4 linked regions of the Oryctolagus cuniculus genome follow. The protein of the gene in region 4 binds, or shares a complex with, the protein of the main gene of each other region. Links are inferred from orthologs where the notes say so. Each region holds a gene or a part of one and is shown on either strand. Other genes may lie near its edges.

Evidence for each region.
Region 1: the proteins of VIPR1 (region 4) and VIP are in contact, whole or in part, in a cryo-EM structure (PDB 8E3Z), measured with the Homo sapiens proteins. The link is inferred for Oryctolagus cuniculus from reciprocal best matches to the Homo sapiens genes VIPR1 and VIP. Residues at the interface, in NP_004615.2 of Homo sapiens: Glu36, Cys37, Val40, Ile43, Asn69, Phe90, Leu92, Phe93, Tyr118, Ile120, Asp125, Asp126, Asp132, Gln135, Thr136, Tyr139, Val142, Lys143, Tyr146, Tyr150, Arg188, Lys195, Phe200, Ser202, Glu204, Ser205, Gln207, Cys208, Met219, Phe222; in NP_003372.1 of Homo sapiens: His125, Ser126, Asp127, Ala128, Val129, Phe130, Thr131, Asp132, Asn133, Tyr134, Thr135, Arg136, Leu137, Arg138, Lys139, Gln140, Met141, Ala142, Val143, Lys144, Lys145, Tyr146, Leu147, Asn148, Ile150, Leu151, Asn152.
Region 2: the proteins of VIPR1 (region 4) and ADCYAP1 are in contact, whole or in part, in a cryo-EM structure (PDB 8E3Y), measured with the Homo sapiens proteins. The link is inferred for Oryctolagus cuniculus from reciprocal best matches to the Homo sapiens genes VIPR1 and ADCYAP1. Residues at the interface, in NP_004615.2 of Homo sapiens: Glu36, Val40, Ile43, Asn69, Leu70, Ile89, Phe90, Phe93, Ile120, Gly123, Leu124, Lys127, Asp132, Gln135, Thr136, Tyr139, Val142, Lys143, Tyr146, Tyr150, Arg188, Val192, Lys195, Phe200, Glu204, Ser205, Cys208, Phe222, Gln223, Val226; in NP_001093203.1 of Homo sapiens: His132, Ser133, Asp134, Gly135, Ile136, Phe137, Thr138, Asp139, Ser140, Tyr141, Ser142, Arg143, Tyr144, Arg145, Lys146, Gln147, Met148, Ala149, Val150, Lys151, Tyr153, Leu154, Ala155, Val157, Leu158.
Region 3: the proteins of VIPR1 (region 4) and GNAS are in contact, whole or in part, in a cryo-EM structure (PDB 8E3Z), measured with the Homo sapiens proteins. The link is inferred for Oryctolagus cuniculus from reciprocal best matches to the Homo sapiens genes VIPR1 and GNAS. Residues at the interface, in NP_004615.2 of Homo sapiens: Arg174, His178, Tyr239, Leu240, Leu243, Leu244, Ala245, Val246, Ser247, Phe248, Arg252, Leu319, Lys322, Leu323, Pro326, Asp327, Ile328, Arg329, Lys330, Ser342, Leu345, Leu346, Leu391, Asn392, Gly393; in NP_000507.1 of Homo sapiens: Gln35, His41, Val217, Phe219, Asp323, Arg342, Asp343, Leu346, Tyr358, Pro361, Phe376, Cys379, Arg380, Asp381, Ile383, Gln384, Arg385, His387, Leu388, Gln390, Tyr391, Glu392, Leu393, Leu394.

Annotation. Positions count from the first base shown.
Region 1 is NC_091436.1:15,088,923-15,095,112, forward strand, and holds the start of VIP (VIP peptides), read right to left. Parts: upstream 3,756-6,190; 5' UTR 3,591-3,755; intron 2,451-3,590; 5' UTR 2,441-2,450; coding exon 2,334-2,440; intron 569-2,333; coding exon 458-568; intron 1-457. UniProt on the Homo sapiens protein: PHM-27 and PHV-42 are two bioactive forms from proteolysis of the same precursor protein, that cause vasodilation. PHM-27 is a potent agonist of the calcitonin receptor CALCR, with similar efficacy as calcitonin.
Region 2 is NC_091441.1:57,533,770-57,538,164, reverse strand, and holds part of ADCYAP1 (pituitary adenylate cyclase-activating polypeptide), read right to left. Parts: intron 3,221-4,395; coding exon 3,089-3,220; intron 2,652-3,088; coding exon 2,553-2,651; intron 1,411-2,552; coding exon 1,221-1,410; 3' UTR 1-1,220. UniProt on the Homo sapiens protein: PACAP is a neuropeptide involved in diverse array of physiological processes through activating the PACAP subfamily of class B1 G protein-coupled receptors: VIP receptor 1 (VIPR1), VIP receptor 2 (VIPR2), and PACAP type I receptor (ADCYAP1R1).
Region 3 is NC_091442.1:3,426,355-3,430,314, forward strand, and holds the start of GNAS (guanine nucleotide-binding protein G(s) subunit alpha isoforms XLas), read right to left. Parts: upstream 2,801-3,960; 5' UTR 2,786-2,800; coding exon 898-2,785; intron 1-897. UniProt on the Homo sapiens protein: Guanine nucleotide-binding proteins (G proteins) function as transducers in numerous signaling pathways controlled by G protein-coupled receptors (GPCRs).
Region 4 is NC_091441.1:105,425,106-105,430,743, forward strand, and holds part of VIPR1 (vasoactive intestinal polypeptide receptor 1), read right to left. Parts: intron 4,091-5,638; coding exon 3,985-4,090; intron 1-3,984. UniProt on the Homo sapiens protein: G protein-coupled receptor activated by the neuropeptides vasoactive intestinal peptide (VIP) and pituitary adenylate cyclase-activating polypeptide (ADCYAP1/PACAP).

The sequences.
Region 1 (6,190 bases), on a different chromosome or scaffold from region 4:
CAGATGAGGAACCTTTTATACTTGACTTCAGGATAGAGCTACTAAGTCTCTGCTGAAAGCTGTTCTAGACAAACAGTTCTACAAACGAACAGCTCTAACTCTTAGACACCTCCTTTTTACAAAGAGATACATGTGTCCTTAACACTCTCTCCATTGTGGAGTGCAACTTGCTGTAGCTTTACTAGGGATGATACAATCTGTGATCTCGGAACTATGTCCAACAGAATATAAGCGAATACTGTGTTCTTTCTGTTTCTTTTTTGTTTGTTTGTTAACAACCTTTCTATATGAAAATCATGTATAGCTTCGAAAGCTGCAACAAATCAGGCTGAATGAAGTCAGAGAAAGGAAACCCGTACTGTTATGCTAGAGGAGTAGCTTCATGGTGAGATAAAATTAGACAAACATATTTCTAAAGTATGTATTTGAACATAAGACTCAATAAAAATAAACTCACCTAGATACATCATAATAGGGTGTGTCATTTTCAGCTAACACATTTTGCAGGATGTCAGTATCTGATTTTAATGAAACCTGATCAGGTTCATTTGCTCCTTCCGGTTGTATTCTGTCAGCCAATGTTTTAGGGAAAAATACATTAGGAATTAGGAGTAAAATATATTCCTTTCCTCCTATGGTAAAGCAATCATTTGAAGTAAGATACTGAAAATTTGGAGAAGTATCACCCATTTCCAATATAAGAATAGCATACTTTAATTCAATGTACTCTATGATTAATGATAATATGAAGTGAAAACTTTTATTAGCCCATAAAATAAATGTTATAAAACTTTTATAAGATGTGTGTACAACTTGTAAGAGCTACTTTATTCAATCCTCTTGGAACATTAGCAAAGTACACTTCCTTGGTAAATGTGTTTCCCCAAGAATATATTCACTTTTTAAAGTCAATATTACAGGCAGAGAAACATTTACAAAATAGAAACTTGGAAAAATGTAATAATATTAAAACTGTTAGCAATTTTTGTATTTGGTTTTTTAGTATATTTGCCCTAATCTCTTCAGAGCTGAATATCACTCACTTTTCTCTCTAGGTATCTAAGTTTTACTTCAAAGATTTACCTTAGCATGATATATTTCTCTGTATTTAACAAGTCCAAGTAATCTCTCTGTCTATTACTAGTTACTCGAATTCAAGAATTTGTGAGACCTTCTGATAAGTGAAGAAATACAGTGACACATGGGAACCTAAGAACAGTTATGCCTACCTATGAAATAGGACTATATTTGTAGGTATATGCACATTCTTACCACCAGCACACCATTGCATTTATGTATGTATCTTTCATGATATAAAAATTGATAGTAATGAGCAGTCCTCTGTGAATCTCAAGTCATGTGAGTAACAAAAACTTTAGCATACTTCAGATTATTCCTTGTTTGTCATGAAAGCATTCCAATGGACCCATTCTACTAAGTTGTCCATGAACTAGAGGAGATAGCTTTAAACAAATTTCATAGATAACACTTACAGGCTAATAGATAATTCACTATATGGAACTTAAGAATACCTTAAGTAAATGATCAGAAATGGACAAATAAGCAAATTGTTGTTTTCCCTTAAAATATGGTGGTGTCTATGACTTTGAAGGAAAAATGAGTTTAACATATCCTTCATTTATTGTTCACTTACTTTGAATACATTTATTTTACGTTAGAAAGGCTTTAATTGTGAGTTGCGTACTTTACTAATTTGAAGTATGGCATATAGTAACATATAAAACACTAAAACTAAGTATTTATAATTCTAACCTAATACATTAAAATGTACTAATAAAGGAAGTATTAAGGAAATGGGTCTCAATTAAAAAGTTATTCCACTATTTTAATATTAGAGAATAAATCTTTCCTATATACAGATCTTTCCAATATGATTTTATGCATGTTTCACTAATAAACTAATATGTACTGATAGACCTTTAGAAAAATTTAAAAGGAGTTTGGCAGCTAAACAGCTATTTTTCTATCAGAAACTGAACTGAATTGAACTGAGGAAAGTTTATTACTCATCTAAAACTGGTTCTGAATGAATGGAAAGTCAAATTGCCATTCATGTTTAGAAATGTGACCACTTGACCTGTAGAATTAATCAGTGACACTGTTTGTCATGCCTGCACACAGGATTCATGACCAACCTGTCAACTTGATGCTGAAAACATCTTGCTCAATACACAAACCAAAAGATTTATGTGCATACTTCACGATTTTAAATGTTGAGTTGTCGAAAATAGCATGTAGGGCATTGCCATTTAGACAAAGAATGAATGTTCAACTGATGAATTACAAGAGAAACTTGTCTGAAAAGGACCTACCTTAGAGTTCCTGGGGCTCCGTAAAGTGGCCATGCCAATGTTTGCGAGAAGAGCACACTGCAAAGTATCAGGGACACCAGGAGCTGGGGCTTGTGTCTGCTTTCCATTTCTGTGCCTCTAAAGAGAGAGCCAGATAAGTCTTTCAAATCCACATGTCATGAGCAAGGCAGTGCTGTGTGTCTAGAAATAATTTCTGAAGTTTGTTGAGGAGTTTAAAAATAGTTTTCATGTTGAAGAGATAGTTAAACTGGGTATGATTACTCTTAAATGAAGAAAATTTCTCTTGGTGACAAGCATTTGAAAAAAATTAGGATGCTTTTCATTGGTTGCTTATCTTTCCCCAGGCACTTAGCCTAAGAATATATTGAATATCATACTTTATAATAGAGTTGTAGCATCAAAGTTAAGTATATTTTCTAAGGAAATCAATTCAAGAAATTATTTTTTCCTACTTTAAGCCTTTAACATCTGGTTAATATAAAACTGGAATATAATGTATTTAAATATTCTTCTACTCTGGTAAATTATATATAAACATGTGTATACAGTGTGTATCTATGAATATAATGTACATATATATACTAGAACACAACATTTTATAAATACATATTTTCCTCTCCTAGTTGTAGATACTAGCATAAACTTACTTCTTTGTGTATTAACACAATTTTGGCCTAGGTTTAAATAAATTAACTGAGAGAAAATTAATATTGATAAACTCATTGAATCACATATTGTTATTATGTGGTTCATTATGCCACAAAATATATGTAAAAACAAAGCTTATTTTTCTTGCACTTGGTCCACTCACTTCATTTATAAATAGTTTCTAGATATAAACTTAGAAGGACAAGGTCTGTGTTTTCTTTTTGCTGTATATAAAAATCACAGCATTTAAACTTACAGAGGAGAAAAAATGTGTTCCAAGTTCACTTAACCAACATGTGAAATAGAAATAACAGTTCTTTCAAAAGAAGTTGAAGACTTCAAAAACAAATGTACCTACTGAACCCTTCAGTCAATATATATATATATATAAATATATATATATATATATATATATATAGTCAAAAACCCCTTCTTGGGTGTATTTTTTAAAATCAGTATTAAGCAAAATAGCAGGAGGGTAAAACATCTTCCAATGAACATAATTCTGAAAATTCATTCTATTCTTACCAGGTGACCTGAATTTAATATACCCCAAGAAGAGTTCCACAGGCAGGAAACATAAAAAGGAAAAGCAAAGTTTTCACTTACCTTGCTGGGTAGCGTTCCTCAGGGACCTGGTGTTCTGGAGCTGTCCAAGGTGCTGAAGTTCTGCGAAGCCAAGAAAGGCTCCACCAGTTCTCTGTCCGTAGCACTGGCTAAGGGTTGGCTGTTATTGCTGGCTACTGCCCTTCACTCTTCCCTGACCAGTGTTTCAAAGCCATCATTTTATAGGCTTATACTTGGGCTGAGCAATCACAAAGCTCCCTGAAAGACGTCACAGTAATACTCCCACGAGATGAATAGGGCTTGAAGTTCATATTAAATTGTCATTATGTCTGATTTATATAAATTTGTAGTGAGTAACTTGAGGATCTTAGATAAAAAGAGGAAATTTGCTTTTTTAAAAAAATGTACCAAGCTTAATGTGAAATGTTTTGATATTTACTTTGTCTTAATGGAATAAGAGAATGATTATGGTGTTAGAGCCAGGGCTACTGGGGTTCCTTCAGATAATGACTTCATGTGCAGGAACAAATTGAGAAAGCTACAAATACTTACGTTCATTATGCTTATGAATGTATAATTATCTTTTATTACAAAGCATCAATTCCCCTAGTCTTTCTTTCTTTCTTTTCTATTATTCAAGCAGATCCTTATTTAGTCCTTCTTGAAATTTATCCTAATTTTAAAAGCATCTGGAAATAATTTTCCCTTCTATTAATATGTTTTCTTTTTGTTGAAAATAATCTTAAGATAAAAGTTTTCAGAAAATCTCCAAGATAGAAAAATATGTTGTATGAAACAGTAGTGCAGTTGCTGTTTCACATATGCATAAAATAACGTAATTCCCAATTCACATCTCAATATGATATCAAATGATCACTCCTAAAATTCTTCTCAGACTCTATCCCTCAAAGCACTGAATTTCTCTTCCTTTTAATAATTATCTATATCACTTTATAAATGCTTGCACTATGTAGAATTATTTCACTTTCTACTCCCACTCCCCCAACACACACATATGTGTGCAATAGTTTTTGGAAATTTCTGATTCAATCACTTTAAATTATGTTCAAAGATTTATTTGCATTTGTAGAGCATTTTGATAAATACTTAATTTCTTCTTGTGAGTTCCTTGATTACAGTGGCTTAGTGTACATTCAATCAGAATTTGAGATAAAAGTGGAACTACAGGAACAATTTTGTGTACAACAAAAGAAAATACTATCTTTCCTTTTATTTAAAAATTCCTAATGAGTGTATTCTTTTAAATTTTTTATTTGTATGTTCCACAAGGGAGAATGGCTGTAAAACCTTCTTTCTTCTTTAACATTTTAGTATCTATTTGCTTCATTCAAAGTCAGACTGATCCAGAATATCTTGCTATGCTTAATCATATTTTATAATCCAGTTACAAGAAAAATTAAATGAATTAAATTTCAAAATGTCTGGAAATTTGTTTCCCAGTTGACAGCTCTGACTTAAACCAGAGTTCCTGTGGCTTAATTCCAGGAAATCTTTTTTTACCTGATTATTACAAACTAGAGGTTGAAATGGTTCTCATATGGAATTTTTTATCTTTAGCTTTTCGTCACCCAATCCTCAGTGAATCAATTTTATTTAAGAACAGCAACAGCAATGTAAGTTGATTGGGAGTTACAGACAATTGATGCTGAATGACAAGCTGAAATTATATAGAAGAAAAAACAAAATTCATTATTACTTTGGTCGAAGTAGATGTTTTCTCCCATTATAATAATAAAACATAAAAATAAAGAGATGAATTGAATTTTATTACTTTTTGGTAGAAAAAAAAACACTAAAGTAAAGACCTGCATTTTTTTTCTAATGAATTTAAACTAGAAATCAAAGCTATTTCAAAATAGGATCACAGCACCATCTGCAGGTTCAAAGTCTTAATTCATAGATTTTAATAAAATCATCTGAGTACTTTTTCTCTTCTTTCAAGGAAATGAGGTGTAAATGAATCTTTAACCAGTCGAATTATAGATGCTTCCAGAAAAATAATCATAAGAAAAAATACTGAAATTAAATTTATCTAGAATATTTTATAATAGCACTCAGCAAATGCAGCTAAATCTGCTTTATCTTTCCAAAAAGTAGGAAATGAATTTTGCCAGAGTTGGGTAAATTATGGAAAGATATGTCAAAATGAAACAAATTAGATACAGGGAGATCAGTTGGAAGGGGTTTTCAAGGTCAGGAGATTGGCAGAAATTCAGAATCACTCTGATTGCCAGTGCAAAAGCTAATGGAGGCTCTTCATCCTCTCAGGGATTATTTTCCCAAGCCATGCCTCTGTGTGGCAGTTTGCCTGTCTAACTAACTCACCCTAACTCATACCCAGCCACGAGACCAGAATGTGCCATGAGACGTGCCGTGAAAACTCTGAATTATTAAGCCTTGATCTGAGGGCTTCAACTATTGGCTAAAAGCCCGAAAGGCCCATCCCTCTGTTTTTTATGTCCCTCAAGCTAAGAATGGTATTCATATTTTAAATGGTTAAAAAATTAATGAGTGGTTTTGTTACATATGAAAATTATGTGAAATTTAAATGTCAGTGTCCATAAAATAGTTTTTTGGAACATGAAGATGCTCATCATATATGTGTGGTCTAGGATTGCTTT
Region 2 (4,395 bases), about 48 Mb from region 4:
AAGCATTCACAAGTTTAAGAGAAGTAAATGAAAAATGGTTAAGTGGTACTTAAACAGTGCAAGAGGGTAGGAAGGAGAGGCTTCCAGAAAAAACACAAAGGAAAAGGCTGGCTCCTACAGAGCAGGGTTCAAAGGGGAGAATCCTGACCATTTCACAAGATGAGAAGCATGGACAGCACTGGAGAAAAACACATTGTACTTTGCACCCATTTCCAATACCCAGCGCCCAAAGTCAGGCAGTAGACCTGTAGTGGGACTGGATTTGCCCCCAGCTTTTCAGACCTGGGATAGCTCAAACCAGTCCCTCTTCAGGATCCTCCTCCTACTGCCTTATGCTCTGCCTCTTCCGATATACCTCTATCTCCCTCACTTTGTTCCAATTGCCCTAACCTGGGAATAGTAATTTTCCCTGGTGAATCAGGAGGTACAAAAAAGAGGGCTCCCCATCCTGAGCCTCCTTCTCTGTACAGTTCCTCAACTGTTCACCCAGGGAGCGGTGTGAATTCTGGGGGTAGGGGTGAAGCACAATTTGGATCGAGCTGTTGTTTTATTAGGAGAATTTCCTTCTGGGCTGAGAGTCTAAAAGAGAGACAAATACACAATAAAGTAGAATCAAAGAAAGTTGCCACCCAGCCAGGGGGGACCCTGCCCAGTTGAGTCATTTCGGCTGGGGTTGAAGCAGCCTGCCCCAGAGACTCACCAGGAAGAACGCCCTTGGGCAGTTCTCCAAGTCATTACCTCAAAGTCTCCCTGGAGCAGGGCATCATTGTTTATGTACAGTAGCAAATGGTCAGTATTAATATCTTCAGGCCTGTCGTGGATAAAAATACTATCCTTTTAATTCGAGTTTATAAAAATAGGAGTAATATTCAAAACAATGATTGTCTATTTTTCTATGTATTTTATATAAAAACATAAACAGCTCAGGCGAATTTTCAATCCTTGTGCACACTTTGTATGAATCGCTCTCTATTATATAGATATTCTTTTAATATATTTATAATATATATCAATAATTGGTCCACAAAGTATATCTGTGCATTCTCTAGTGCTTTGTAAAAAGAAAAACAATATTATTATCAAAATATTCATTTAATGGCTTTACTTCATACATAAATACATGTTTGGATAGAACATATGAGCAATGACTGTTCTGTCAGTTTGGAAAACGACTTTTCATTGTGGCAGGGTTTATACACAGGGTAGGTGGTAACTCTTCGCTACAAATACGCTATTCTGCGTCCTTTGTTTTTAACCCTTTGTTTATACCTTTTCCCTAGGACGGCCGCCAAGTATTTCTTAACAGCCATTTGTTTCCGGTAGCGACTGTAGCTGTCTGTGAAAATCCCGTCCGAGTGGCGCTTGGAGAGCGGCTCCAAGTCGTCCTCCGGGCCGCCGCCCAGGTTTTCACTGCAAAACAAAACAGAGCAAACAAAAAAAATAGGGGGTGGGGGTTCGGGAAGAAGGTGGCGGGGCGGGAGACACACGTTCAATACGCGCAGGGGAGCAGGCGGTCCCCACCCTGCTGGGGGGGGGGCCTTCAGGGAGGGTGTGGCGCAGGGCTCACACCCCCTACGCGCCTCCTCCCTCTGCCCCCGACAGGGCGCAGATGGAAACCCCTGTCTGTGTTCCTCCCTCCCGCCCAAGATTTCCTGGCTCTAAGTACTGCAGAAGGCGCCCGGGATGCGATCGGGGCAAGCAGAGCAGGAGTGCAGCCTAATCTTTCTCCCAGCGCTGCCCTTGGAGATTTGCCTTGGCGCTAAATTGTCCTCAGTGCTCCTCTCACCCCCGACATACAAAGAAATCACCATAGAGCCCTGCGAGCCACGATGGCCGCTGCCGGGCAGTTTGTATCGATCCTGCAATTCCTAGGCAAAGACAAGCACGCCTCTCCTTCCACACGCTAAGTTGAAAAACGTGATAATAATACAAGTCGACAGGCTGTGGGCAATATTTTTCACCGCATGAATTATTCATTGCGAAAATATAATCTGTTTTCCCAGGGGTTTTATTAAAATGTTGCCTTCTGCTGAGATACGCTGCCCGCAAGCCCTATGCTCTGGGTTTGTCTGGCGTGAGCGAAAACTGTTTGTTTCCCTAAGCGTCCAAATTTGGTGATTTGTTTATTTCGATTTGAATTTACAGTAAATGCAATTCCCCCTCTCAAAAAAAAAAAAAGCCACGCTTAGAGGAAATTACAGCAAATCCTCCCGCGAACCTTGGAGGTTTTGAATGACTGGAAGGGAGGGAGGGAGTGTTTGATTTCTTTCTTTTCATTAAAAATGGATCAAACTCCGGTTCGCCTGCCCTCTTTCCTTCTCCCCGGACCTCGCGATCTCTGGACCATACTTAAGGAATCATTTCAGAAACTCCGCCCACGGCAGGTGGCTGGTACCCGCCCCCACCGCGCCCCCAGGGCGCAGACTCAGCCTCCGCTGTACCTGCACGCCCCAACGCAGAAGCCGCGCCTCCTGCCCCGCGTGCGCCCTGCGCGGACACCCACCCGGCGCGCGCGGCATCACGCGTCAGTTAACTCTTTCGCAAACTCTTACCCCATGCCCTTGGCCATGAGAGTCTGCAGGTACTTCCTGGCGGACAGCTGGTCCAGCACCTTGCGGTAGGCCTTGTTAAGGATCCCGAGGGCTACATCTCTAACAGGGAGGCAAAGTGCCCAGGGTCAATGACTGTGCCTCCGACAGGCCGCCCGAGGCTACCCTGCCGGACGTGTGCGCCCCAGGGCTTTTAAGGAGGCAGACTGGGACCCCAGTGGCACAGCATTTGCGAACAGGACTCTTGGGGTGTACGCAAGCGTAGATGCTAGGATACGAAGTTGGTCCTGACCTCTTGGGAATGACGAGCGTGAGTGTGGGCTCCCCACATGCCCAGGAGCGCACTCACTGACACTTGGGCTGCGGAGCACTCCCGCCGCGGCCCTCAGATTCGTATTACACCCGCCTGCTACTAATTCTCCAGCCTGGGAGAAGAGAGGCTTGAGGATCTTTATGAAAAAGAACCTACTCGTTGGGTCACTGTCCTGCACCCCCACCCCGCCCCCTCCGCCCCCTTCGGCGAAGACCCCGCGTGGTACCTCCGCTCCCCAGGGTAGTACAGTGCATAGGCATCATGCAGCGCGGAGGCGGGGCTCCCTGCGCCGGGAGGGTCCGAGTCGTAGAAATCTTGCAGGGGGCTTCCGTCTTCGTCGTAAGCCTCGTCCTCTGGCCTGCGGGGTAGCCACAGACAGAAGGAGTGGTCAGTACAAGTCCCTCCCAGTCTGCGATGACCCAGGAAAAGGGGCTCTTCTTCGTTGAGGTCCCGCATCGAGAATTGTCCTCTCTTCCAGAACAAGAGTGGGGGCAGGGGTAAGGAGAAGGGCACCCCCACCCAAAAGCAGTTCCCACCCCGTGAGGCGGTTCGCCCACCCCTCCTCTCATCGGGAAAGGGTCGTCCTGCGGGGCCCTGGCCTCAAGGAGCCCTGGGAAACCCGGTTGTCTGCACTAACAGCGCACACCTGACCACCGAAAAGGACCGCCCCTCGCCCCGCGTGGTGCCCGAGCCTACTTCAAGTAGCCACCCGCGGGGCCGTGAGAAGCCCTGGGAGACCTCGCGCTGATCAACGCGAAGACCCGAAGTGGAAGGCCTGGAGCAGAAAGGAGAGGGTGGGAGGGTCGGGTGCGCGGCGATCAACTCCGCCAGCCACCCCCATCCAAGCCGCCTGGCCCAGGGGAGCGCTTCCCCGCGCAGATGTAGGTCACGGAGAACCTCTAGCGTCTATTTTGGGCCGGAGAGGATCTGGCAGGAACATGAATAATAGATGCCCCTAAACTTAGCCAGTTTGGCGGCGGTTGGTTTTGTGGTGTGTCCGCGCCCTCAGGTGCTTCTTGCCCGGGGAAATTGCCAAGCACACAGAACTTCGAAAATAGTTGGGAGTGAAATAAAGGCTAGTGAATCCTCTAAATAGTTCGCACTACTCTGTTCGCGGTGGCGAGACGGTGGGACCCGATCCCAACCCCAGAGTGCAGGAAGTCATCAGGGGACCTGATAGCCAGCAGGGACGTGGCGACCTCGGCCAGCGCCTCCATCCGGGATACGGGACGGGAAGCGGTGGGTCAGAACAAAAAAACCATCGCTCTGGAACGCTGGGGAGTCTCGGAATGCGGTCGGGACAAGGAGCACTTTCTAGGCGAGGCTGAACTCGTAACTCCTCTGGCTTTTCCTCCATCCCTGGAGAGGCCACTGCAAGGCGCGCTCAGGTTTCCGCACGCCCCACACCCAGCCTTCCACAGCGACGCGCCTCAGCCCTGGCCGTGGTACCCCGAACCCCGGGTCTTTCTAGCCACCTCCTGCCCTTTCCTCCGCCCAGATACTAGAATCTGAATTCAAAAGGTGGGACTCTTC
Region 3 (3,960 bases), on a different chromosome or scaffold from region 4:
AGCAGGCTAGATGTCCTCCATCCCCCACCCCAGCCACTTCCCATCCCCCTCCAGGTGAGTGTGCTTGTGCGCAATGCTGAAATCCAGTGTGCAGCCCCAATGCCCCAGATACCTGTGCTGCGTGTCTGGTTTTTCAACTGTAAAGGCGGGAGGGTTTGGCGAACGAATGAGAAGTGAGGAAACACTTAGCGCACAGGGAGAAAGAGAGAAAGACACAGAGGAACAAGGTTACCGAGGCGCCCCCCCGGGCCGGTGGCCCAGCCGGGTTCCGCCGCGGAGTGCCGGCGCACAGGTGTCATACGAGTGTGCAGACGCGCAAAGTTTCAGCCCGCGCCATGGCGCGCATCACGACAGCCCGTCCCCAAGTACAAGTACACGGTCGGCGGGTAATCCGGGGATGGGGGGGTTGCCGGGGATGGGGAACACTTGAGCGTGTCATGCACAGGCGGACACAGAGAATACGCACACCGACACACACCAACGACAAGCTGGCCGAGAACAAGCCGTGCCAGGCGAGGCGGGGGCGCGCCTTCCCCGATGGCCCTAGCCCACCGCGGCCCCAACAAACCTAAGCCGGCGGAGAGTGGGCGCCCCTTTCCGGCAGTTCCCGGCTCACCTGAAGCCCCCGCCTGTCCAGCTTACGGTCGCTGGCGCTGGCCTGTCCAGCCGGAAACGACCCTCAGTGTCGCTCGGCACCACTTTTCTCCCTGGAGGGCACACACCTCGGCCACCCGAACCCGCCCCAGCTCCCCTCCCGCGCCCGGGGCAAAGTTAGGGTCCCTCCGTGGAACTTCCTGGCCGTGCCCCCTCCTCCCGCGGCCGAGCCCCGCGCCCCGCGCCCCCTCCCCGGTCCCCGGCGGGGCTGCTGCCCCTGGGCAGAGTCCGCCGCCGCGTTACCTAGAAGCAGCAGGCGGTGAGTGCACATGTAGCCCATCTTCTCGGCCTGCAGCTGCTTGTCGATGAGCCTGCTGCGTTTCTTCTCGGCGCGCTTCTGGGCGCGCTTCTCCATGGCCTCCCTGCGCATCTGTCGGCGCTTCTCTGCCAGAGAAACCTTCTTGGCCTTGCTGGGGCTCGCGGGCTTGGGCTGGGGGCTCTCAGATCGACCACCGAAGCAGCCCCCGAAAGCCTGCACGAGGAAGTTGCGGAGCAAGTTGCGCCGGGGCTTGCGGCGGCGGCGTGTGCGGCGCTGGAACCAGTGGAAGCAGCCGGCGGCCCGCTCTTCGGACTCGTCCCCGCTGGAGGAGTCGGCGTCGCCGCTGGTCGACCCCTCGTCGTCGTAGCGGCGGCGGCTTCGGCCGCGCTCAGCTCTGCCCCGCCAGGCAGCCGCGCGAGCAGGCCGCGGAGTAGGCGGGTCAGCAGCCTGGATCTCGGGGCTGGGGGGTCTGAGCAGATGGAGCCTGCGTCTGGCCCCGGAGGCAGGCGCGGCGGGGGCTGCCTGGGGGGCCCCGGCGGCTGCGGCGTGCTCGGCCGGGGCACCAGGGGCTCCACCGGCGGCAGGGGCTGCCCCGGCATCAGGAGCGGCTGCGGCGCCGGGGGCTGCGCGGGTGTCGGCGTCGGCTTCGGCATCGGCCGGGGCTGCCCCGGCGGCCGCAGTGCCAGGAGCGGCCGGGGCTCCCCCGGCTTCGGGCTCCGCCGGGGCGGCGGGAGCGGCTCCGGCGGCGGGAGCGGCCCCAGCTGGGGCGCCCGAGGCTCCGTCCCCCGGAGAGGGGACTTCTCCTTTCTCCGCAGAGGCGCTGACCGAGCCTCCTTCCATCTCGGCTGCTTCACCCTCAACTGGGGGTCTCTCGCCGCGCTCCCTCTTATCTGGGGCTCCGGAGACCTTGATGGGCGGGCCATCACTCGCGATTGGGGGGCTGTCCATGCTGACGGGAGCGTCGTCGACCCCGACGGGGGCGCTGCGCATCTCGAGCGGGGGTCCGGCGATCTCCATCGGGGGGCTGGCGCCCGCGAAGTTAGCAGCAGCTCTGACAGCCTCTGGGACCCAGAGGGGTGGCGCGTCGGTGGCGGGAGCGAGGCAGACCGCACTCGGGACCGCGATTGCCGCGCTGCTGCCACCGTCGCCGTTGGCAACTTGTGGGAGCGCTCGGGGGAGCCCGGGGGGTGGGCTGTCGTCCCCAAAGGCCTCTCCATCAAGCTGAAATGGCATAGCCTCCTCGGGGGGAGGGCTATAGCCTCCTCCAAGGCCAGCGCTGGCAGGCCTGAGCGCCCCGGACTTCCCGGGAGGAGCTCCAGGGACCCCCAGGTCTGTGCCACCGGGAGCGAGGTCGGGGACCCCCGATGCTGGCTGGCTGCAGCCTCCCTGGCCAGCAGGCTCCTCGAACTCAAAGGGCATGGCTTCTTCTGGTGGGGGGCTGTAGCCTCCCAGGCCAGGCCCGGCACTGCCCGAGACTCCGGGATCCACAGAGGCCTCGAGGCCTGCGATGGGCCCTGGGGTGGGCCAGAAGCCTCCCACGCTGGGCTGCTGGACCTCAAAAGGCATGGCTTCCTCGGGAGGTGGGCTGTAGCCTCCATCGCCTCCGAATTCCTGGTCAGCTGCCACGGCGAGGCCCTCCAGGGTGCCCCCGGAGACCTCAGGGGGTTCACAGGCCTCGGCGCCAGCCTGTGCGGGGACGGGCTCGCTGGCAGGCGGCTGGGTCTCCATCTCTTCGGCTGGGCCAGGCCCAGCACCGGGGGCAGCTGGCCCTGGGGCCTCCAAGGCTGGCTGTGGAGGCTGCTCCCCGACTTCAGGGGGGAGATGGCGTTGTCCTGACATATTATTGCCGTCGAGGCAGTAGCGCAGGCCCATAACACGGTGGCGGCCTCTTACAATGATGTGGGGGCTCCGTGAGACGGAGCACCCAACCGAACTAGGGTGAAAAAAATTATTTGAAAGGAAGAAAGAAAAAAGTACCAGCTGGGAAGTTCTGCGGCCTCACTTCCCGAGCGCACTCAGGGCCTAGAACCCCAGACCATGGCCAAGGCAGTGCAGTTCTGGCTGGTGAAGTCTTGGCTCCTTCCTGGCCACTGGTGATTCCCTCAGGCCCCCACCCGGCCTGCTCGGCCTTCGTCCCCTCCTCTCTCTCTCTCTCTCTCTCTCTCTCTCTCTGCTCCAGGCCAACACAGACTGCTTGGATTTGAGGAGCGTGCCGATTCGGTCCGAAAATCGCCAGTCGCGCGCTCTCTCTGCCACCAGAGGACGCAGGTCCCGGTGCCAAGCTGGTTCCCTGCACCGCCGGCCCGGCTTTGGGTAAGGGGCTGGCGAGCGCAGGCCTCGCAGGGACGTTTGGGCTCCTTCCACGCCTCTCCCTGACTGATTTGGAGCCTTTCTCCTCGCTTCTCCCCTTGGCCACACAAAGCTCTCCTGCGTTGCGAGCGAGACACGTGACACAAGACGTGGGCCTCGGGATGCTGGAGAACAGGAGCAGAATCGCTCCCTCCCCGCCCGCGCCGACTCTCCTCGGGGGGCGGGGGACTGCAGAGGGCTTTCTTTTTCTTCCTTCACCCCAGGATACCCCTGCACCCCTGCGCCGAAGCCCCTAGCCCCAGATCTCGAGCCAAGCGTAAGGCTCTAGATGCCCGGGGACAGTGGCGTGCGCGCGCGGGAATGCGACAGGTGGTCGTGAGCCCACCGGAAGGGCAGGGAGGAGGATGAGGAGCGAGGGGGGCTGTCGAGAGCGAGCGCACAGTTTGTTTTGTAAAACGCCTTGGGTACACTTGCCGCGGTCCGCCGTGGCGAGGCACTTTAGCATCGCCCACCCCCGTGGCTCCTGGGGTCTCCGCAGTGGCCGTGGGCGGCGCAGTAAGGGGTCCCTCTGTTTTTGTGGACAATGATGCGACGCAATATGGGGGTCTCCTGACTGCACCATGGAGAACCAAGCCAAGCCCCCCGCCTCCCCGCAGTGTAGCGGCCGCGGCGGCACGGAATGGGGGTCGCGGGACACGCTGGGGAGCCGAGCCCCACGGGGCGCAGGTCTCAGAGCG
Region 4 (5,638 bases):
ATGGCAGGGGGTTTACCATGCACGTTTTCCAGAAATGCAACCGCTAAATAAAGGCAGAGAAGACCGTCCTTCATCTTTCCCGAGAGTCGTCCCGTGTTTTGGAAAACCATGTTACTTGCAGCAACGCTGCCTGTGATATTTTGAGACACTGATACAATCACCTGTGTATGTCAGTCTGCGTTTATAGCTCTCACATGCCCAGGATTCATATTTATAGGTACAACCTTCAGACTGTATCTGCTTATCTTTGAGTGCAATCATGCCTGAATATGTACACAGCATTTTATTATAAATGATATTCCTTTTACATGATAGCTGGAATGTAAGTTTTTTTTTTAAATGAATTTATATGTGGGGCCTGGAGGTCATTTGCTGATAGGAAAGGAGGCAGTAGAAAATGTGATTAAAAAAAAAAGGAGGTGGTGAGGATGAGGGGGTGCAGCTGGTTCTGGAGAGACTGTACAAAACTCACAAGGCAACACAGATGGCCCCAGCTCAGCAGGAGGTGAATGGTGATGGGAGTGGGTATCTGGCAGGGTTGGCAAACCCCGCCCCTCGGGCTGTGGTCTTCATCTTGGAGCTGGCAGGGCCTGGCTGCTGATAGTGACACAGGGGTCTCTAGCGGTTCTGCTTTACTAGGCAAAGGCAAACGCCAAGGTTCTGCTTCTTTAGAAACTGGCTAACATCCTCACCCCCCCCCCGCCCCCACCACCCCTGCCTGGGGAGTAGGACTACCCGGGACCCCCGCCCCTGCAGGAGGCTTAATTGTCTCTTTGCAATCCTGCCAGTCTCATAGATTTGCTCAGGCAACCCAACCCCTGAGCCAAAGTCAACGCCAGCTGGGCCAAGCCCTGCCCAGCCCAGGTCCGAAGGTTCACCAGTTCCCAAGAAGGGGGCCTGGGAAGAGAAGGTGGAGGCACAGCCCTGCTGGGGGCAGAGCGTCGGAACTCTGTGTGCCGGGGTGCGCTGGCGGCAGGTGCAGCTTCCTTCTGGGGCTGCGGCAGTCAGGTGACAGCTGCCGCTGACAGCTGCGGAAGACACCTGCATCTCCAAGGCTGGGGCAGAGTCCAGCCCCAACTACACTGTCACTCTAACCTGTCCTGAGGACTCTGTGGCTGCCCTCCAGAGCCAGCCTCCCTGGAGGCCGTGTAGGGGCCCTTCAGGCCAGTCGAATCCTATTCATGGTTCAAGATGCTGTTAATAACATCAGCAAACACTACGTCATCTTGGTATGCGCCAGGCCCTGTTCTAACCTCCCTTGATGAATCGTTGGTTTAACCCTTCTATTTCACAGATGGGGAAACTGAGGCTGGTGACTGGTAGCACCCGCCCGCAGCGCTGGGGAGCGGTGCACCCTGTCCTCCTGGCCTGAAGGCGATTTTGTTGCTGCTGGACTTTGTTTATCCCTTCCTGACAGTGCTGGGCACACCCTGTTTTGTAGGCCAACTGCTGTGTCTGAGTCCCTGCCAGGCTCTGCAATCTCCAGCTGCCGGCTCAGGTTGGGGAGTGGATTCAGGGCTGCGTCTCTGGCCCTGAGCTCTGCTTCACCGGAGCGCAGACAGAAGAGAAGGAGACTGGGCCCTGCTTTTCGGGAGGGCACACTCAACCTCAAGGAATCACAGCACAGCCAAGGCCGGGCGGTGACCCGGGACCAGGGCACAGGTCAGCAATCAGATTAAGGGAGGCAGGAAAGAGAGGCTGGAATGGAGGACGTGGAGGGGAGCCCCTCGTGGGAGGCAGGACAGGGCTGGTTTTCCGGGGCAGCATGGCTGGGGAGACAGACAAGGGTGCTGGCCATGAAAACACCTAGTACCTAGAAGTACTTGTTGTGGGCTGCCCCCTGGGAGTGCCCCCTGGGACTGCACCCTGTGAGCCCATCCCAGAGAGGCCACCACAGTCCATCATTGTGTGTCACCAGGCCCATAGAGACACATTCCAGGCTGGCTGTGGGTCCACTGGGGGCTGTGACCCCAACAGGACAGCCTGGGGTGATGGATGGTGAGGGAGGGTGGGTGCTGTGTTATAGACGTGTGTGCTCAGAGCCACATGCACTGACACGTGTTTCCTGGCAGGCACATGAGATCCCGGACACACATGCAAACATACATGCATGAATGCAGGGACCACTGATGCCAGCAAACAGGCACAGAGGGACATGTAGCTCCCAGACATGCCCAACCCCCCACCCCCACACACACCGCCGACATTCACACCAATGACACAGTCCCACATGGACACACAGAGACACAGAACACCAGGAAGGCACGTCTAGGCACATCCAGGCTTAAACAGACACGACATATGCCCCCGAGCCACACAGACACTCTCGTCAAACCCAGAGCCACAGACAACCCCAAACAGACGCAGGCCAAGAGTGCACACCTGGATGTGCACAGACACACATAGGGCCCCACGCCGGTCGCAGGGAGACCCACAGCCCACGGACCCATGCCTGCCCTCCCCAGGATCCCAGGCTGGCTGCCAGGGGGCAGGATGTTGGCACGCGATGGGCACCCTGTGCCAGCAGTGACCTCATGAGGATCACGAGGGTGGTTGGCCCCTGGGGCTTGGGAGGCACTGCGGTGGGACTGAGAGTCTGGGTTCTGGGCCCCCAGGGATGACCATGATCCCACCCTCTGGGCCTGTCTGCAGCCTGGTCCTGCCTCCCTGCCGGGGTAGGAAGGGGTGAGGCACACGGTGGGGGTGGGGGAGACCTGGGGGAAGAAAGCTACATGCATCCACTTATGGTGCAGGAGGCAGAGCTGGGGCACCAGGGCCAGGAAGAGACTGTCAGTCTCAGAGGGGTGGCAGGGACAAGGGAGCCAGGAAGACCTCAAGGTGCTCCCTGCTGCCAGCCAGGCTGCTGTGCGAATGCAAGCCCTGCCCCCAGGGAGACGGCCCTGAGTCTGCTCCCGCCTGCAGCCATCCTCACGTGCCAGTCCTCAGTGAGCTTGACCTGGACACCCCTGGACCCCATGGGCGGCCTGGCCCAGTGCCTCTCACCTCCTCAGCCTCTTGGCTTCTCCCACACTCCTTACCCTGTTGAGTCTAGCTCAGCCCCAGGCCGCTGAGCCAAGTGCAGGTGGTCGACACCTGTCCTGGGACTCTGCCACTGGGTTTGGGTAGCTTGACAAGTCTTCACACTGCCAGCCTGGAGCTCTCCCAGAGCCCCTGGGCATGAGGGGCACAGGACCCTGTGGGCTCAGCCTCTGGGAATGAACTTGACTTGCCTAATCACCAGGATAAAGAGCCGGAGTTCACCGGACCTGCTGGGGGTGGGTTGGGAGAGGGAGGCCAGGCGTGTGCCTGGGGGTGCCTGTGTGCCTGTGTGTGCTCTCTGTGTCTGAGTGACAGCGCCTAGGGTGTGGAAGAAGGAGCCGGGCCTCCCCGGCTTTCCCCGTGGGGAATGTTCTACCCCCACGCAGTCAGTTGCGCCTTCTTGCTCTGGATGGCCCAGATGGCTCTGAGCTTCTTGTAGGGAGTCACAACCTGAATTTGAATGTCCCCTGCTCTTCCTCTTCCTCTGGCCCGGGACAATGGCCTATGCCTGGGTGTGTTGTGCTGGGGTTACATCTCCCAAGCCCAGCGCCAGCTGCTGGAGTGAGCTGATCCAGGAGTGTGCCCCGGCTCCTCTTTGGCCAAGGATTGAGGAGCCTGTGTGCCCTAATGATCCAGAGACCCCCCGTCTGCTGGGCCCCAGGCCTTCCACCCTGGGGGACAGGAGGCTGTAGGCATCACCTCCACTTTTCCTTGAGCTCCAAAAGGAGAAGGGGTTTCAGGCACTGTTTGGAGCCCCAGTTGAGTATGTTCTCTTTGGGAACGTGCGGGCCTGTTAGTCCTTCCTGCTTGCTTCTCCCCACACTCACCACCCGGCAGCTCTGAGGTCGATCCCTGTCCCTGGTCCCCATCCCACACACAGGGAACGAACCTAACTCAGGCCGGGGCACCAGGCATGAGGATACCGCGGGCTGCAGAGGCCCTCACCTGCTGTCTCGTTCTCCAGCTGCGCCTCCTCCAGGCACTGCCTGTGCTGCACCTCGATCATCTGCAGGTAGTCACACTCCTGCTGCAGCCTGGCTGCCCGGCCGCCCTGGGGACAGAGACAGGGAGGAGCCGTGAGTGGGGCACAGTCCGTTTCCTCATCTGCAGACTCCAGAGCAGGGCCTGGCCACGGAAATGACATTGCATTCATCCTACCGGAGGTCCAAGTTGCAGACTGAACCCCACTCCCAACTCCAGCCTAGCCCCCGACTGACCCCTGAACCTGATCTGACCCCAAATTGTTGTCCATTTTTCCCAAGGCTGGGTCTGCCTTGGGGGGCCCTGGCATGGCTTCCTGGTGGCCCCTGAAGAGTGCTGCAGCTGAAGTAACTCCCTCTTTGCAGGTGGCCAATCCTGTAGAGAGATGGGAAGGCCTCTCTTCAGAACCCTAAGTTGGCCACTGGCCTCTGCCTCTCTCCAGCTTGACTTGGGAATCCTCTGTCCCAGCCTCAGTCTTCCTGGGGGAGGGTGTGGCTCAGCGAGTGCTGTCTTGTCCTGGGGAGTTGGATCCTGGCCCCCAGTTTCTTAGGCCACTCTTAGAAATATCTAAGAGTCTCTCTGCATTTCCAGCCTCTGCTCCATTCCACAAGCCTATGCTTAGACCCCTGCCCACCTGGCTGGGGAGGGGATGCTGGCTCTCCTTGCCCAGACCCCACCTACTTCCTTTTTGGTTTTCTTAAAAATATGTATGTATGCATGCGTGTGTGGAATTCAGAGGCAGAGAGAGAGCCCATGCGCCCATCCGCTGATGCACTCTCCAAATGCCCACAACAGCTGGGCCTGAATTGGGGCCAAAGAAAGCCAGGAGCTGGAATGTGATTCAGGTCTCCCACATGAGTGGCAGGCATCCAAGAACATGAGCCATCACCACTGGGCATTCCCAGGGTGCACATCATCAGGAATCTCGTGTCAGGAGCCGGGATGGACAATGAAACCCTGGGCACTCCAATGTGGGATGTGAGTATCTGAATGGCTACACCAAATGCCAGGCCCTGAGTTTCAAAAATATACAGGTTGGAGCAGATCTCGGGAAGGTGAGGGAAGGTTCCAGAAGGTACAGAGGCACCTGCGTCTGGAATGTGGGGAGGGGGGTGCAAAAGCCAACCTGCTCCCCTCCCTCCCCCTGAGCACTGTCCAGGGATTAGAGGAGGGGCCAGCCCAGTGACACTGGGGACACTGGCTCTGGGGCAGACATGGGGGAGGGGGTGACAGCTGTCCAGGAACATCTGGAAAAGACCAGGTCTTAGGAGCTCTTGGGTGGGCAAGGCCTCCGCGGAGGAGCCGATGACTGGTGGCAGCTTCTGCCTGTCTGTTTGACTTTAGGAGAGTGGCTGAAGCCCCACGTCGGAATTTTCACCTCAACACCAGAGCCCCCTCCCCGCTAGGGCCAAAGGAGAGGCTCCAGCAAGGCTGCTCCAGAACTGGAGATTCTCAGCATCGCCTCCAACTCATCTCTTCCACCCTGGGCCTCAACTTGACCTTTCTGCTGATTCAAGGGTTTCTTGAAAGCAGTTAAAGGGAGAGGTGAGGGGGTCTTTCCCTCACTTCCTGTCTTTAAGGGGATCCCCCCCCCCCAACTTGGCCTGCAGCATCCAAC